Linked DNA regions of Schizosaccharomyces pombe. Each later gene encodes a partner of the first gene's protein in a complex. Each region holds a gene or a part of one and is shown on either strand. Other genes may lie near its edges. The genes, in order: mis18 and mis19.

Region 1 (3,714 bases):
CCCATCTAATGCACAACCTTCTCCTTGGCTTATGTTGGATGCCGCCAATAAAATGATCCGTGTCGCTAGAGACCGAGTATACAAAGAATCAGAAGGACCGAATATGGATGCGATTCCCATTTTGGAGGAACAGCCGAAATGGTCTGTCTTGCAAGACGTATTAAACGAAGTGTGTCATGAAACAATGTTAGCAGATACAGATGCAGGTATAAAAAAAACTCTCTTTAAAGGAAGAAATATTAACAAATCTTTCAGAAACATCCAATAATTCGATAATGATTATGTGCGCAGATGAGCGTACTTGTTTACAGTTACGTGATTATTTGAGTACGGTGACTTACGACAATAAAGACTCTTTGAAAAATATGAATAGCAAATTAGTGGACTATTTTCAATGGAGAGAACAATATAGAAAGATGAGTAAATCAATCAAGAAACCAGAGCCTTCCAAGGAGCGAGAGGCTTCTAATACAACGTCTAGAAAAGGTGTTCCACCTTCAAAGAGAAGAAGGGTAAGAGGTGGAAACAATGCCACTTCACGCACAACTTCTGATAATACAGATGCGAATGATTCTTTTAGTAGGGATTTACGCCTAGAGAAAATGTACGCTAATTATTAGGTTTTACACGCTAATAAGTCTAGTCTGCTCTCACACTTATCCAAACGTTATGAACCTGAAGTGGGCAATGATGCATTTGAAGTTATTGATGATTTCAATTCCATCTATATCTATTCCTACAATGGTGAAAGAGATGAGTTAGTATTAAATAATTTAAGACCTCGGTACGTTATTATGTTCGATTCTGATCCCAATTTTATTCGAAGAGTCGAGGTTTACAAAGCTACATATCCCAAAAGATCTCTAAGGGTTTATTTTATGTACTATGGAGGATCGATTGAGGAGCAAAAATATCTTTTTTCTGTAAGGAGAGAGAAAGATTCATTCTCTCGTCTTATTAAAGAACGATCTGTAAGTTATTCTAAACTTTTCAAAACTTGCTAATCTAAAAAGAATATGGCTATCGTACTGACGGCTGATTCCGAAAGGTTCGAAAGCCAAGAGTCAAAGTTTTTAAGAAATGTCAATACTCGTATAGCTGGAGGAGGACAGTTATCGATCACAAATGAGAAACCTAGGGTACGTTCATTATATCTTATGTTTATATGTATTAAAACGTTAAAGGTTATCGTTGACTTGAGGGAATTCCGTAGTTCGTTACCTTCCATATTACATGGAAATAATTTTTCTGTTATCCCTTGCCAACTCTTAGTGGGAGATTATATATTATCACCAAAGATCTGTGTTGAAAGGAAGTCAATTAGAGATTTGATCCAATCATTAAGCAATGGCCGTCTTTATTCCCAATGTGAAGCTATGACTGAATATTATGAAATTCCAGTTTTGTTAATTGAATTCGAACAACACCAATCTTTTACATCTCCAGTAAGTCTGACTAAAACAATCTATGTCTGACAGCTTTTAGCCTTTCTCCGACCTTTCAAGCGAAATTGGAAAAAATGATGTTCAATCTAAACTGGTACTGTTAACATTATCGTTTCCCAACTTAAGGATTGTTTGGTCTTCTAGTGCCTACGTTACATCAATTATTTTTCAAGATTTGAAAGCCATGGAACAAGAACCAGATCCTGCTTCAGCTGCCTCTATAGGTTTGGAAGCTGGGCAAGACTCAACGAATACTTATAATCAAGCTCCACTCGACCTGCTAATGGGACTCCCATACATAACTATGAAAAACTACAGAAATGTGTTTTATGGAGGCGTGAAAGATATTCAAGAAGCTTCCGAAACCTCAGAAAGAAAATGGTCAGAACTAATTGGCCCCGAAGCAGGAAGGCGTCTTTATTCCTTCTTCCGAAAACAGTTAAAGGACTATGAGTAATTTATTTTTTTATAATTTTGTAATATATTTAATTTTTGCTTCTACATCTGATATATATTGGTTCACCATATATAGAATGTTAAGCGCACCTAATTAATAACGACTACTACTAGATAAAATGAACTTTCCATAAGTATGTCCCAGACGGAAACTAGTCATTCGGGCTATATTGATTTTAAAAAAGAGTCACAACCTAGCGTCTTCCAATGTAAAAAATGTTTTCAAATAGTTGGTGATTCTAATGCTTGGGTTATTTCTCATCGAGAATATCTTAGTTTCACTTTGAGTGGTATGTGGTAAAAGAAATGTCCATGTAATTAATTATTTCATTTAGATGCAGTAGAAAATAGTGTACGCGTTGAGGATACGTTTAAAAGGAGTGATGATGGTCTTTGGTATGTTGCATGTGTTGCTCGCCAGTTTACTAATACAAAAATTATAGCGTCTATTCAGAGTTGAGTTGTACTAGATGCAATGAAGTGATTGGGAAGGTGTATAATTCTACACCTATATATCTTGATGATATTAGGTATGTCTAGTCGTACTTGGTTGACCAAATTTTAACAAAATCATGTAGAGATATGTATACTTTTTCAATGGACAAATTACAAGCGTAAGTTCATGATTTCATCTTAGTTACTAACCCCAGTGAAGCTACCAACTAGGTAATAAGACCGTAAATCCTGAAGGCCTTACACGGTATCAAGTTGATTTAGAAATGAGAGAGGACATTATAAAGGCATGTACAGTGATTCTTTATATAGTAGAGAAAAATAAACTTTAAGAAGAATAAATTACTAATTTTATTTGTAGTTGAAGTCCTTTTGTCTCTCTCTATATGAAAAGTTCGAACTTCACGATGAAACTTTACGCTCAGTTAAGGAGACAATATCCAGTTTAAAAAAACCGAAAATTGAGGGAAAGGAAGGTAAAAAAGAAAAGGCAAGAACATACTCTAAACGAACGAGGAAATAAGTCCACCGCTAGAAAGTACTGGGATACCATGTACAAACTGTTATATTCAAACAGTTAAAATTGCGGTTAAAACAAAAAGACACAATTTAAATAATACCTTTTTGATGTATTTTTTCTAAGGTTTTCCTTCTTGCTCATTGTGATATGCATGGGGCTGTCGGTCTCACGAATAAATGTGAGAGTATTTTCATTGAAAGGCTTAAGAATTTTATAGAAGATAGATTGCGTTAAGTTATATTTTTTCCCTACCTTTGGTCGTTCGTTGTTTACTGTTTAGATTATTTCTATCAGTCATTAATGAGTCATCATTGAATCATATGAAGGGCGACAGTCATCTGGATACATATGGGAATCTTCAAAGATACTACTCTATTTAATCCTTCTTTTTCAATGAGTCTTACAATCTTTATTTCACTTGCAACTATTTTGTTTTCCTTCGCTGAAGCCATTTCGGTGGATTTGAATGACACGTCCTCCGTTGACTTAGCCACTTCTTTAGTAGCTGATGGATTATTGAATTATTATGCTGGTCAGCACAAAGGAGGAACTATCGGGATGTTCCTTCCTCCAGCCTACTGGTGGGAAGCCGGGGCTGCTTGGAATGTACGTTGAGCTTAAAAGTATAATTTATTAACAACAATGGCTTTAGGGACTTTTAAATAGATACATTGCCACTGGTAATAGTACATATAACGAGTTGGTAAAGACCAGCATGTTGTACCAATCTGGAGAGGATTCAGATTATATGCCTTCGAATTATACAACATCTGAGGGAAATGACGATCAGGCATTTTGGGGTCTGACCGTTATATCTGCCGCTGAAGCAAACTTTTCAAA
Region 2 (3,050 bases), on another chromosome or scaffold:
GGAATGTCTTGAAGCTTTGACCTAGCTCCCACAAGAGAACTTACTTGTAGCGAGATCACGAAATTGGGGTCAAATGACAAGTTCATATATGCAGGCTGGCCTGCACCATTGCTTGGGGAAAAATAAATCATAATCTAGGACAAATGTTAGAAAAGACCGTTATTAAAAGACGAAAAAAAATAGTCTATCGTAGAATACCACTGTGATACGATTTAACACTTGATGTTTCAAACCCCCGGGGGAGGGGTGTAAAGAATCGTAGAGACTATATACTATTAAGGTTGTAAATAGACTTACCTTTCCGACAAATTTACAAATCCTAACTGTAATGGACAATGGTAAGGTTGCAAACGCAGGCTTTGGAAAATTAAGTAAAAGCTTTGTGTCAACGGTGCAATTAATATTGTCAGTCAGAGAAACAAGCATCTCCGCTCGAAGCTGTGAGGAATTATGCTGATGAGGTAGAACCCGACAATGACTGAAAACCGGAAATCCGTCTCCAAGCGATAAATCTCGCACGTAAATATGATCAACCATAGACTTGTCTTGAGCACCTTTGTTGAGAACAGTTTCAAGTTTTCTCAGGGCAACATCGTTGGAACATGCATCATAGCGAAACTGTATGAGAGCTTGTGCTATTAGTACATTAAACCAATCCAATGATTCCGGCTCATGTTCATTAACATCGTAAAGCAGATTGAGTATATGAGGTTCAAGGATAGTAAGAGGCTTTTTGTACCTTTTTTTGTTATTACTTAAAGGAGTTGAAGGAGTCTCGTCAGGTGTTTCATTCCCCGTTTGTTTTGGAGAGTTTGCTACAGACTTTGGAATTGGACTACAAAATAAAAAGAACCGCAAAAACACATAAATAATGGCCAGTGTCAACAATTGTCCAACTATTAGTCCTTGTGTAAAACTCCCCTGCGGCAGGTGTATCATTTTTGTTCATAAATATACTAAAATACCTCGAATTCGCTAATCCCGAGAATCAAAACCGTAAACGGAAAAATTAGTCTTCGCTCTACAAGAAGAGTATAAATTAAACGTCTCAAATACAAGAGTTAACTGCTTAGTAAGTTGAGGCTTTCTGTAATATATATATATATTTTTTTTTTTTCTTTCTTGTAGGTGGTCTACGTAGCATTTGCAATTACAGAGTTCATTGAGCCTATTTGTTTGAGTCCAAAACCGAAATCAACTAATTAAACTAATGGACTTCAATTAAAAAAGATTATTAGTAAATTCATTAAATAACATGATTTGTTTGAGAAAAGCAACTAATTATATCAAATTATTGACTTTAGATATATAAATCCTTTATGATAATATATATTACATTATGAAATTATAAGAGAATATTACTTTCTTGTACTCTTCACATGTGTATGGCATGCTCATACTCAAGGGTAGGAAATACACTAGTACGCGTTTTACTCTTCCAAAAGGAGTATTAGTTAAAGTATCTTTAATAAACGACAATAATTAGTTATTCTTTCTTTCGTATATTAACGGACTACCTAATTTTCGAAAGTTTCTCCGTCTGTGATATTTTATTAAAATGTTAAGCAAATGGATTTAATGCCGTTAGAAAAAGCAAGAGCAATTGAGATTGCATTTGATAATGTGTTTCATAATACAAAAATTCCGGACAATTTGCAGCAATTTGACGCCATATTGAAACGACTGGAAAGACGGAGATTTATACCAACGGAAAATCAGAAACCAAGAGTGTACGAAACAGAGCTACTTGTACTGCGATTTCGCGAATTTGGGGTGAAAGACAACCATAATCATCCAATAAATCTTCATTCTCTTCGGTCAAAAAGCTTAATCAGGGCACAAGGTAAAAAACTTGATTTACATAATCGAGTATTTCTAAGAAGAAATGTTAGAGCAGTAAAAATGTGATTAGTACCTTTTATACGATAATTTTGATGCATTAGTAACTTACCCAATGTGAACTTTACTGAACTTTATACACAACTTACTACAGAAAAGACTCAATCACTACATGTTACGCATATTTTTAAAGCGTTAATTTTCTATCAAAAACAAAACTGTAAGCGTTCATAACTTCTTTTCAACCCAAATTCACGTTTACATGAATTAAAGTCATAATTCAGCAATATTTTCCATTTTAGCAAAAAAAATCGATATGAGTAGCTTTAACAACACGGTGAAAAAATACCAAAAATAATAATTCTATATAAATCAAATCAAAAGCGGTTTTATTTCAGCTTCTCTCTCAAAAGACAAGCTAGAACATAAAACAAAAGAGAGGGGAGTGTATCAAATAATAAATCTTAAAGTGAATTAGTTATCCTTCTTGCTGGCATAAGTGCGATCATCTTTACCCTCAACGGTGTATTGAACTGTCTCCATAAAGCGAATGCGCTGCTCTTGCAATTTCTCATTGCGAAGTTCGGCGTCAAATAATTCTTGGTCTGGTTGACGATATGAACTGCAAAGACGATCAAACAAGGTGAAAAACTGACCATAATTGTAATTAAAGTACATATGGTGAGCAGCGTGATGAGCAGCACCATTTACGACAGCGTTGTTAGAAAAGTATTTGCCGTCGTGGATGAGTACGGTCCAATAATTTACTGATCCAAAAAGCAATAAGTAAACATACTTATTTAAGGGAAAGAAAAAGGGAAACATATGATATGGAAGGGATTGACTGTATCCATCAAGATAATGAAAAGCGTGAGAAGAGTAAGGAGTTGGAACAATCCATTTGTGATGAAGCTTATGCAAAGGAGCGTAAAGCCAACGATGATGCAAAGCGCGGTGAATCCAGTAAATCAAAAAATCAGAAAATAGAAGGAAAAGCGCGATGGAAAAGAAAAGATAAAAGTAACCATATTCATCAAGCTTATCATAAACATAACCATATCCACGAATTTCAGCAAGAAACCAAGGAGCTGTCAGAATAGCCATACCGGGTAGATTTTTTAAAGCAACCATCAATTCCAGATGCTCCTGATTTTTTAAAAATTTAGGGTGCCTTCTGGCCTCCTCTCGATCAAAGTACACATAATATGCAA

What was found.
Region 2: mis18 (region 1) and mis19 share a complex: the UniProt entries of both Schizosaccharomyces pombe proteins name them as parts of the CENP-A recruiting complex.

Annotation. Positions count from the first base shown.
Region 1 is NC_003421.2:513,094-516,807, reverse strand, and holds mis18 (kinetochore protein Mis18), read left to right. Parts: upstream 1-2,000; 5' UTR 2,001-2,037; coding exon 2,038-2,191; exon of another isoform or gene 2,192-2,236; coding exon 2,237-2,297; exon of another isoform or gene 2,298-2,344; coding exon 2,345-2,431; exon of another isoform or gene 2,432-2,479; coding exon 2,480-2,515; exon of another isoform or gene 2,516-2,556; coding exon 2,557-2,641; exon of another isoform or gene 2,642-2,697; intron 2,698-2,715; coding exon 2,716-2,877; downstream 2,878-3,714. Other genes in the region: rad16 (DNA repair endonuclease XPF), read left to right, coding at 1-206, 256-604, 644-971, 1,014-1,139, 1,185-1,445, 1,486-1,902; dcw1 (mannan endo-1,6-alpha-mannosidase), read left to right, coding at 3,268-3,480, 3,527-3,714. UniProt on the Schizosaccharomyces pombe protein: Component of the CENP-A recruiting complex that ensures the integrity of mitotic spindles through maintenance of kinetochore factors mis6/CENP-I and cnp1/CENP-A. Maintains the deacetylated state of histones specifically in the central core of the centromeres.
Region 2 is NC_003423.3:1,322,162-1,325,211, forward strand, and holds mis19 (protein Mis19), read left to right. Parts: upstream 1-1,569; coding exon 1,570-1,908; 3' UTR 1,909-2,213; downstream 2,214-3,050. Other genes in the region: ERMES complex subunit Mmm1, read right to left, coding at 1-134, 298-939; C-5 sterol desaturase Erg32, read right to left, coding at 2,314-3,050. UniProt on the Schizosaccharomyces pombe protein: Component of the CENP-A recruiting complex that ensures the integrity of mitotic spindles through maintenance of kinetochore factors mis6/CENP-I and cnp1/CENP-A.